2 linked regions of the Arabidopsis thaliana genome follow. The protein of the gene in region 1 interacts with the protein of each later gene in a pairwise test. Each region holds a gene or a part of one and is shown in the gene's direction. Other genes may lie near its edges. The genes, in order: SGT1B and BON1.

The links.
Region 2: the proteins of SGT1B (region 1) and BON1 interact in a two-hybrid assay, tested with the Arabidopsis thaliana proteins (one study listed by BioGRID).

What each region holds. Positions count from the first base shown.
Region 1 is NC_003075.7:6,850,670-6,855,919, reverse strand, and holds SGT1B (phosphatase-like protein), read left to right. Parts: upstream 1-2,007; 5' UTR 2,008-2,200; coding exon 2,201-2,360; intron 2,361-2,687; coding exon 2,688-2,757; intron 2,758-2,862; coding exon 2,863-2,987; intron 2,988-3,095; coding exon 3,096-3,222; intron 3,223-3,300; coding exon 3,301-3,397; intron 3,398-3,515; coding exon 3,516-3,581; intron 3,582-3,660; coding exon 3,661-3,799; intron 3,800-3,924; coding exon 3,925-4,004; intron 4,005-4,090; coding exon 4,091-4,195; intron 4,196-4,297; coding exon 4,298-4,405; 3' UTR 4,406-4,736; downstream 4,737-5,250. Other genes in the region: AT4G11270 (Transducin/WD40 repeat-like superfamily protein), read right to left, coding at 1-1,459.
Region 2 is NC_003076.8:24,854,857-24,860,931, reverse strand, and holds BON1 (Calcium-dependent phospholipid-binding Copine family protein), read left to right. Parts: upstream 1-1,590; 5' UTR 1,591-1,633; intron 1,634-1,659; exon of another isoform or gene 1,660-1,737; coding exon of another isoform or gene 1,738-1,781; coding exon 1,782-1,934; intron 1,935-2,097; coding exon 2,098-2,145; intron 2,146-2,231; coding exon 2,232-2,380; intron 2,381-2,462; coding exon 2,463-2,511; intron 2,512-2,585; coding exon 2,586-2,642; intron 2,643-2,783; coding exon 2,784-2,969; intron 2,970-3,062; coding exon 3,063-3,197; intron 3,198-3,306; coding exon 3,307-3,368; intron 3,369-3,459; coding exon 3,460-3,553; intron 3,554-3,635; coding exon 3,636-3,750; intron 3,751-3,873; coding exon 3,874-3,950; intron 3,951-4,034; coding exon 4,035-4,172; intron 4,173-4,270; coding exon 4,271-4,435; intron 4,436-4,522; coding exon 4,523-4,636; intron 4,637-4,728; coding exon 4,729-4,825; intron 4,826-4,926; coding exon 4,927-5,024; 3' UTR 5,025-5,271; downstream 5,272-6,075. Other genes in the region: AT5G61910 (DCD (Development and Cell Death) domain protein), read left to right, coding at 1-79, 1,738-1,934, 2,098-2,145, 2,232-2,380, 2,463-2,511, 2,586-2,642, 2,784-2,969, 3,063-3,197 and 9 more. UniProt on the Arabidopsis thaliana protein: Negative regulator of cell death and defense responses. Negative regulator of several R genes, including SNC1. May have effects in promoting growth and development.

The sequences.
Region 1 (5,250 bases):
CATAGACAACAGCATATGGGACATACATATTCTCAGAAATAACCATGGACGATGACACACACTGTCCATTGTCACTAACAAAGCTTTGTAGATCATTTTTGGCACTGCACTGACTTCCTGACTGCGAAGTACCAGTTTCTGCACTAACCGAGCCCTTGGGATCTAAACAGGAGCTTGAAATCCAATCAGCAAAATAGGAGCTTTCTCCAAGCACTTTGCGCTGAAGTTCTTTTTCTTTACCATTTCCTAGGCACAATGACCAGATCGTTATATGGGGCCTCCACTGAGAAGGTTGTTCAACATCACAACAACTAGACTCAACGCGAAGAAGATTCTGCCTCAACTGAACAAAACAAAACGTTGATTTCACGGAACGCTTATCATCAGGGGCAGTAACAATCTCACCGAAGTTTTTATATGTAAATTCACCATCTATATATGACATAGTAAACAGCACAGCAGAACCACTACCATCCCACAGCACAAAAGTTTCAGAAATACTATCATCTTTATCACCTTCAATAGTTGATGTACTAGAGTAAAGTATCATTGCTTCTTTGAACAGAAAATTTGAAGAATGCGAATCATCAACAAAAGATATCTCTCCTATTGCCTCCTCGCGATTCAACAACCAAAAGACACACCTACTCTTCGAGAAAAACGCAACAAGATCCCCTCGAGTTATTACTGATACAGCAATTTCCCCTTCACTCAACCAGTTTCTAGACACTAGAGAGCCTTTGCTCGGTTCAGATTTCTCTGACACTGAGACCAACTGCAACCTACCAAACGAATCAGCCATAAGCAATGATTCCTGCTCATCTAACTGAACCACGCCCATAAAATTCAAACAACCAATAGATAAATTCCCATGGAAAACTGTATGAACAATAGTAAGAGTGTAAGTATCAACAACAACCACCGTGCATCTCGACTTCTGAAAATCAGTATCTGCTAAAGTCTCAGCCCCATCAACATCGATATAAGAACAACCAACACATACATATCTAGGCTCTGATGGCAAAGTAGACAAAATCGATGGACTTCCAACCCAAGGAGGTAATTTTCTTCGTTTCCTACACTGACCACTACTTCTACTCCATACACACAAGACACCATCAGTACAAGCACTGATCAATGCACAACAGTTAACAAATGGATCCGCATTACCATTATCTGATGCAACAACTCCATTACTTGAAAGTATTGTAGGATCACAAATAGCAAGATCCACTATTGGTGAAGTATGGCCACACAACATAGCAATCGGTTTAATCTCATGATGAGGGAGACGAGTTACAGAATTGGATTCGGAAGAAGAAGAGATGCTCCACCAGATGATTGACCCATCGGATCCACCGGTATAGAGAGTCGGTGGATTGGTTAGAGAGGCTGTGGCGGTGACCCGATGAGACGGAGGAGCACGAGACCATAGGCAGGCCACAGATCGGCACTTCATCGGCTTGAATCAAGCGGTACAAGCATCGACCGAGTCAGTGAACGAGTCGGGGTGAGAGAAGAAGGAAGAACGAACTGGTAAACGACGTCGTAACAGTAATCACGACAAATATATCTGTACATATTTAGATGGATTTTTCGAGGTTGCAAATAAATTTTTTAAGGTAAATATTTGGCAAAAGTTTGATAATTGATATTTTAACTTTACTAGATTATTATCAACTTAAAATACTTAAATCTGTGTATTGGACGACGGGTCCTAATCTAGTCAATATATAAATTATAACTTGTTAAAATATATCATAGTCTAAATTCACAAATCACATTGTATTTGCTAAACTATGAGTAAACGATTACGATATAAACAAAATGAGTAGAAAATGATTATTTTAAATTATTGTAGTTCTCTATAAATATCTTTACCATTAGTTTTCTTTCCTTTTTTCAGTATTATTCTTTTGTCAACTAATTTATTTGTTAAAAAATCTGGACTTATCAAGAATCAATCTTATGTTAAAAAATAAAATCAAAAGGAAATTAGAAAATAAAATAAAATCTAATTACCTTTTTGTTTTTGGTTATATGACCTAGTAGAGGTATTAAAACGTTCTTAAAAGAAAAAAAAAATCCCAAACACAGCAAAAAAAAAAAAAGCCTAGAGGAATAGAATCGGTCTCTTTCTCTATAATCTCTCTCTCTCTCTGACTTGTTTGTGTTCTCTCAAATCCTCTGATAAGAATCAATGGCCAAGGAATTAGCAGAGAAAGCTAAAGAAGCTTTTCTAGATGATGACTTCGATGTTGCTGTTGACTTATACTCCAAAGCCATTGACTTGGATCCCAATTGCGCCGCCTTCTTCGCCGATCGTGCTCAGGCCAACATCAAAATCGATAACTTCACTGGTATAAATATAACTCTCTTCCTTACCGTTAATATCATCGTTAAAGATTGAAACTTTATTAGATGTATTGCTTCGTTGACGCTTTTGGGGTTCTGGGTCTTGTTCTTTTGTCGTTACTTTAATTCGATCTGTTGATAGTGGAACAAAGTTTTGATTTTTGTTATTGGTTTGGTTTAGTTTTAGTTTTAGGGTTTCTTTTGTGAGGTTGTTGATTCGGATAAGAAAACTTATTTGAGTAATTGTAATTGTAGTTACTGTACTTTGATTGAATTGTTGTTGTTTGATGATTTGATTTGATATTTTATCTTTTTGTGGTTTCTATGAGCAGAAGCTGTTGTAGATGCGAACAAAGCCATTGAGTTGGAGCCAACGTTGGCAAAAGCCTATCTCAGAAAGGGGTATGATATTTTCACCATCTCTCTGTAGTGAATGATTTGATGTTATGTTCAAATTTGATTGGAATTATAATTCTATCTTCTGATTCTTTGCTACTGTGTTCGCAGCACTGCTTGTATGAAGCTAGAAGAATATAGTACTGCTAAAGCAGCCCTGGAAAAGGGAGCTTCTGTTGCACCGAATGAACCAAAGTTTAAGAAGATGATAGATGAATGCGATCTTCGTATTGCAGGTATGTTACATCAACTCCATAGCTTAAGAAATTAGTTACTAAACGATTTTGGGTATTTGTCTGCGCCTAGGGCTATAATTTTGATATAGTCTTTGTATCTCTGTTCAGAAGAAGAGAAAGATTTGGTTCAGCCGATGCCACCGAGTTTGCCTTCAAGCTCTACAACACCACTAGCAACGGAAGCTGATGCTCCTCCTGTTCCAATTCCTGCAGCACCTGCCAAACCGATGTTCAGGTAGTCTGGTTATCTAACATGTAAATTCTTCTTTAATTTCCAGAATCATTTTATACTCATAACTTTATTGCTCAACAGGCACGAGTTCTACCAGAAACCAGAAGAAGCGGTGGTGACAATTTTCGCCAAAAAAGTACCTAAGGAGAACGTAACTGTCGAGTTTGGTGAGCAGATTGTGAGTATCCTTCAATCAGAGAATTCATGACTTTTATCTGAACTTCAGAAACTATCTCTCTTTGTAATTTAACACTGTATTGATTTGAGATGTCTATCTTGGCTTTATTTTGGTGCAGCTGAGTGTTGTCATTGATGTTGCTGGAGAGGAAGCTTATCATCTCCAGCCGAGATTGTTCGGGAAGGTATATTTTATTTGACATATGTAATTACGGTGTTTTCACACACACTTTTACTAAATCCTTCTTCATGGGTGTTTTTCAGATAATACCAGAGAAGTGCAGATTTGAAGTATTGTCGACCAAAGTTGAGATCCGTCTTGCGAAAGCAGAGATAATCACCTGGGCCTCCCTTGAATATGGTAAAGGGCAAAGTGTTTTGCCCAAACCCAATGTCTCATCAGGTTTGTCTCAGAAGATACCAGCTTACGTTTACTATTTTATTCTGAACCACAATCGTAAAACCTTAAACAAACTGAACCCAAAGTGGTCTCTCTCTCTTCTCATTTGATTTTATGTGCATATGCAGCGCTGTCGCAGAGACCAGTGTACCCATCTTCTAAGCCAGCAAAAGACTGGGACAAGTTGGAAGCTGAAGTGAAGAAACAGGTTCCACAAACGCTAACTTCTCATCCTTAACACTAGAGGCTTTGCTGTACTTTGTTCTTTCTGCTTATCACTTTTGAATTTCGCAGGAGAAGGATGAGAAGCTTGATGGAGATGCAGCTATGAACAAATTTTTCAGCGACATATACTCGAGTGCAGATGAAGACATGAGGCGGGCAATGAACAAATCATTTGTGAGCAAATCTATCTTTGGTCTTTAAAATTTTGGTTTAATAACTCTGCTTTGTTCTTCGACTAATGAGATTTTCCTCTCGGGTGGTTTTTGGGTTTGACAGGCAGAGTCGAATGGGACGGTACTGTCGACAAACTGGAAAGAAGTTGGGACTAAGAAAGTGGAGAGCACTCCACCAGATGGCATGGAGCTCAAGAAGTGGGAGTATTGATCTTCTTAAAATCCCCTTTTCTGGTTTTTGTTAAAAAAAAGTCTGACAAATCTTTTGAACTTTTAAGGTGTTTTTCTTTTTTGGTTTCTGCTCGAATTTGTCTCTCTCCATTCTTGCGTTGTGGTCTCAAAGAACGTTCTGATACTTTGATTTTGTATTAGAAAACTAAAACTCGCAAGTCTGTTGTTTTGGAACTTTGTTCTTTTATCGAGAGGCTTATCTAAATATTTCTTGACATAATTGCATTGTGGTCTAAAAGGTTAGTTGTATAAGCCCAACTTTCTTTAGTTAAAACCGATGTGCATCTATATAGTGAGACAGTATTTTCACCTTTGGGGTTCCTGGTCTAGGAACACTGTTGTTGAATCCAAATCTTTCTTTCTTCTCAAATGCCTTAAGGATTTGAAATGAACATGTTAAGCTATCATCAACACTCATCAATGCACCAGCATTGTCAAACTCGCCACAGTAATTGGGTGCAGAGAATTTGTCTTCACGAAATCAGAGCTACTTTCCATCTTCATGTATATATTAGCTGATTCAGACAAGAAGGATACTAAGTTACAAGTTTGTTATAAGATGCAAGAGTAAAGGATTTCACTTTGCAGGTTGTATCAACCAATTGAAACAGTCTTGTCACCATAAGTGATTTTAGATTATAATTTGTTTCATGCAAGTTTTTGTGAAAGACTTTTATGGAAGTTCATATATATATATATATATATATATATAATACTAACTGAAATACCAACTTAAAAGTAAAAACAAAATCTCCACAAATGGATCTGTTTTACAGTTATAACAACACTGTAAAATAAAAAAAGACAGTAGCAGGAAGAATTCAG
Region 2 (6,075 bases), on another chromosome or scaffold:
GAAGCATGGACTCGAACTGGTGCACTCAGTGGAAAAGAAGGTCAAGGACATAAAACTAGAGTCTCCAGCTCCGTTTACTGTAAGTTTAAAAGTTCTATGTTACGGTTTGATCATATTCATTTCTGAGCTGCGCATGAGGAAATTCCTCAAACCATCAAAACTTCTTTAAGTCCCGTTTCAGGAGTGCAATCTGAAATGCAATTCTGATTGGGATTTAAAGTTAATAAAACATATTATAACTCTGTTATCATTACTTATGCTAAAACATTTCTTTTAGTATGGTCATGTTTAATACTTGGGATTTGCTATTAAGAATACTACCTTCAAAAAGGTTCATCTTAAACACTCTCTCAAACGAAACCTAGGGACCAAGAATATGCTTATTGGCTCTAAGATTAAGTGGCCTAAACCCTAAGCCATATCTATTGGTAGACAAAAAAGAAAAGAAAAGACTCCTAAGTCTCCCACTATGTATGTTTGAGCACTTGCACTGCAATTCACATGTTCTTTGTTTTTTCTCTTTCTCTTTCAAAAAAACTTTTTATCTATTTCTTTCTTCTCCAATAAAAAAGATTTTAAAAGACACCTATCTCACTCTTTCCACCTACTTTGTTTTGTTTGCTACAGAATTTACTTAAGGCTCTGGTCTTGCCCTCTTGTTTCTTTTTTTTTGGGTCAAGGGTCCCGTATGTTTACAGCTTTGTTGGTTGTGTCACAGATCATCAAAATATTATTGACGAAGGAAAAAATACTGAAATTGGGAAAAACATGATCAGATCCAACTCTCTGAATTGTCTCGAGGTCTTTTTAATTGGAATTGAAAAATGCAAATTTTCCTGATAAATTTGGAGTTAACGTTGGCTTCTTTCAATAGATGTCTATTATATTATCTTTATCCACTTTTTGAAAGTTATAGTCCCCATCTATCATCATTTACTGATATGATCTGTGGGATTTTTTTCTACAAAATTTCTGAGTTGTGTGAACCTTACGATTTGTGTTAAAGATAAACAAAGTATGACCTCCATGGTAATAAACTACTAATTATCTTTGTAAAATGTTCTCACGTGAAACTCTCTCACTATTTCCTATTGCTCACTTTATGTCCCCATAGCAACAACGACTTGTACTCGTCTGAAAATTTCTCAAATTTCATGTAAATAATAATAATAAAAAAATTATTACAATTCTTCGCTAAAAGCATCACAGATCCAGTTGGCAAAAAGAATTATATATATACTATTAGTGCATTGCAAATAAAATTATTAAAGACCAACTGTTTGTCATATAAAATATTATAAAGGATTTCATAGATAATATGTATTTGATATAACAATTATAATCGATAACAATATTCTGATATTGTAAGCTGGAAAGATTATGTCACAGAAGTTAATTGCTCTAATTAAATATGTCTGAGGTTAATCTGATATTGACCAACACGTCGTTTACTACAATAAATACAAAAAAAAAAAAGAGAGCGAATTTCTCAGAAAACAGCTTAACGTTTCTTGGATATTTCGTAAGTCAATATTAATCAAATGAAAACAAACAAAAAAAACCTATATAAGAAGGAGACGCTGTAAAACAGAGCGAGTCAATTAAAAGAAAAGAAAAAGCGCGACTTAGACAAGTGGGTCCCATTTACTGCTCTCCCAGATTATCATTTTCTTCTGAATCTTCTTCTTCTTCCGAAATTCCTCACAAAAAAATGTTTGTCTCTGTTGTTCGATCCAGGTACTTTTGAATCCGCAGTTTTTTTTGTTGGGAAATCAAAAATTATGGGGAATTGTTGCTCCGATGTCGCCTCCGGTGCTGGTGCTACAGCCGGCGTTGGTGGAAGTGGTTCCTCCGCCGCTCTCGGTGCGACTAACGACGCCCTTGATTACTATCTCAAGTCCAAAGGTTTCAACGGACTCTTCTCGCAGATAGAGGTTCCTTCACTATCATCTATCTCTCGTGTTTTTTCTCTACTTCCGCCAAAAAACGTTTAACAATGATATGTGTGTGCTTCGTTTGAAAGAAGAAAACTGCGAAATTCGATTTTCCCTGTATATTCTGAGGATTCATGTTTGATACTGTTTTTTGTTGATGCAGCTATCGTTTTCAGCTTCGAATTTGCGAGACCGCGACGTGCTCTCCAAGGTTACTTTGTTATTCAAAATTGAATTAGTCTTCATAGCTGGTCATTTTAGTTAATGACAAACTTTTTGTTTTTTGTTTTTTTGCAGAGTGATCCTATGGTTGTTGTATATCAAAAAGAAAAAGATGCAACACTTTCAGAAGTTTTCCGCAGTGAAGTTGTTTTGAACTCTTTAGCTCCGAAATGGATTAAGAAATTTATAGTCGCTTATCATTTCGAGACTGTGCAGACATTGGTGTAAGTTTCTTATTATCTTGTGTGACTTGAGGAAAGAGATGAACCTTTACCTGACTCTTTGTGTTGGTTTCTTTATACTCAGGTTTCGTGTGTATGATGTTGACACCAAATTTCAAAATTCAAGAGAGGAGGTAATTGTTTATTTACTGCCTGCATTTTCATTTGATCTGATGTTCACTTTTCTCAATATGTTAATACTTTTCAGATGCTTAAGCTTGACGAACAGCAGTTTCTTGGTGAGGCAACATGTGCATTGTCTGAGGTATCATTTTTGACATTGACAATATATGTGCACTTGTTTTTGCTGGTTCTCTGAGAGGCACATCAGAAATTTTGTTTTATTGCCTAGCTTATAAGAGAGAGAGAGAGAGAATACTTTATATTTAACTTTTCAACCACGCAGATAATCACAAAATCAACTAGGACGAGCACATTAGAACTCAAGCGCAAAGATGGCTTTGCTCCACAGGCTCAGCCTCACCACGGAAAGCTTATCATCCATGCTGAGGAGTCCCTTGCTTCTAAGATTTCAACAGAGATAGTATTTAGATGTTCGAATTTGGAATCTAAGGATCTTTTTTCAAAAAGTGTAAGTTTTGTTGTTTATTCTCTTTACCATTTTAATAAAATTCTAGTTCTGACATCAATATAACACTTTTTTTTTGTTGTGGCTCAACTTTAGGACCCCTTTTTGGTGGTATCAAAGATTGTAGAGCATGGAACTCCAATTCCCGTGTCTAAAACTGAAGTCCGGAAGAATGATCTTAACCCTATTTGGAAGCCAGTCTTTCTTAGTGTTCAACAAGTGGGAAGTAAGGTACGGGAGATTTCGTATATGTGAGCTTCCAGTAATATGTAACTGAATGATTAGAAAGTATGTTTCTCTGTTCGAGATGCAAGTTGATTCATAGAATGTAATAATGCAGGACAGTCCAGTGATAATAGAATGCTCAGACTTTAACTCCAATGGCAAACACAGTCTGATTGGGTAATCAACAGCTTAGAGCTCAGTCCATCTTCTTTTTGGAGTGACTTTAGCTGTTAGCTGACATAATTACTCGTTTATTTTGGGTGGTCAGGAAAGTTCAGAAATCGCTTTCAGACTTAGAAAAACTTCATTTGGCGGGCCAAGGAATCAATTTTTCTTTGCCTACTGGTGCTGGACAAAACAAGGTATAAACCAATACGAAAAGGTCTCCTAACATTTTCATGCCTTTTTCAATAAGCTATCTAATACCATTTATGGTCATTTTAGGTGTTAAAGAGCCAACTTTTTGTGGACAAGTTTACCGAGACTGTCCACCACACATTCCTAGAGTACTTGGCATCTGGATTTGAGTTAAACTTTATGGTAGCAATCGATTTCACAGGTATGTATTGCACCACTGTGGAAAATCCTAAAAACTTTGATTGGGTATGTAATGTTGTTGTTACGTATACATCATGCAAAAAGGATATAATCTAAACATCTCTACATTTCTTTTGTCCTTCAGCTTCAAATGGAAATCCCCGCCTCCCTGATTCTTTGCACTACATTGATCCTTCTGGACGATTAAATGCCTACCAGAGAGTGAGGACTCAGTGTTATTCCATTTTCTTGTAACTAGCATCGACTGTGACTAACAAACCTTCATGATCTCTTCTTTTAACTCAGGCAATAATGGATGTTGGAGAAGTGTTGCAGTTTTATGACTCAGACAAACGTTTCCCTGCCTGGGGATTCGGAGCTCGTCCAATCGACGCTCCAGTTTCACATTGCTTTAATCTAAATGGAAGCAGTTCATACTCTGAGGTAAACAAACTCGACTCGCTGGTCTTTAAGACTAAATTTTGATGTTTTTGGATTGACACATCAAAAGTATCTTTTTTTTTTCTCTCTCTCTCTCTCAGGTGGATGGGATTCAAGGAATCATGACTTCATACACCAGTGCCCTTTTCAACGTCTCTCTTGCAGGGCCTACCCTTTTTGGTCCAGTGATCAACGCTGCTGCAATGATCGCCAGCGCGTCGCTAGCTCAAGGTTCACGGAAATATTACGTCTTACTGATCATAACAGTGAGTATATATATAAAAAGAAAAGCCAAGATCACATAAAATAACAAATCAAACATTGTTTACATAAATCATAAACTCTTGTTTCAGGATGGTGTTATAACTGATCTTCAAGAAACAAAAGACGCATTAGTCAGTGCATCGGATTTGCCCTTATCAATCCTCATTGTAGGAGTTGGAGGAGCTGATTTTAAAGAGATGGAGGTAACAAATAAAAAATAAGACATTTAAGATTTACAACTACATATGATCTTGTGTAAACTGTACTTTTTTTTTGTTTTGGTGGGGGTTTTTAGATACTAGACGCAGATAAAGGAGAAAGATTGGAGAGTTCGAGCGGGCGATTGGCTTCACGAGACATTGTTCAGTTTGTGGCACTACGAGATGTCCAATGTGAGTTTTATTTGATTCTTAGAGTGAAACTTTAGGGAAACGCATGAGAACGCTAGTTCTTGGTTTGGTGAGTTTTAATGTGTTGTGTGTGGGTTTTGTAGATGGAGAGATCTCAGTGGTACAAGCGCTTCTAGCAGAATTGCCTTCGCAGTTTTTGACGTATATGAGAATCCGTAATATGAAACCGATTCCTCCATGAATGATCTCGTCTCGTGTGTAAATGAAGTGTGTACATATTATACATTACATAAACCACTGCGGCGGTTAAAAATCGCTGTCGTTTTGCGCGATTACATAAGCTTTTTCCATTTTTATAATAAAAATGTCTGAATGTGGGATGTAAGTTTCGAATGAAGAGGCTGATGTACACATTTGTCTTGATTTCTTTTACATCAATACTTGGAATTTGAAGATATCTGTTTTGTGCAGCTTAATTTCTTCTATTGATAGAGAATAGTGAACGTCCAACAAAAAAAAAAACATTCAAGTTACAGATGAATATTGTTTTGCATTTTCAACTAATGATTTGACATATGGAGAAAGTGTCCAAAAAGTAAAAGGTAAAGACTGTTATATCAATTATGTAAGAGACTGATAATAACCATAGAATTCCCAAAAACAATTTTTTGTAGATTTTTTTTTTATAGTTGTTATTTTGTTAATTTAATATATTTTTAAACATGTGTATCATATATATCAGAATCATTTCTTAAAAACTAAAACAATGATTTTTTTTTCTTAATGAATATTGCATTATTTGCGGATAATTGAAAATAATAAAATTATGTTATCAAAATGTTGAAAACGTGAACAAATGGCTATTGATCACACTATAAATTTTCCGTCAAATAAATGAATAGTTAGGTATCACATGTGATCTAAGATTTAGATGAGGGTGTCCAAAGTGAAGACCAAATACATTTAACAGTAAAGCTACAGTTTAGAGAAATTTTGATCATAAACATAAATAAACAGCTGGTTAGGGAAGTGGTAGTTGAACCTAACACCAACGCAGTACACACATGATCGATCAAGTTAGTCAAACTGGCTGTGGATTACATTTACAAGTCTTACATTATTATATCCGTACTTGTCACACATTGTACATAATTTCTTTACCTGTCAACTTAGTTAGCTCTTGACTTTTTTGAGTGAATAATTTTTCAAATGTCAAATTTTTTACATACAAGCCTATAATATGTAGATAGGCAAGAGCTCCATTGAGTAAAAATTAAATACCTCCTTTCGGA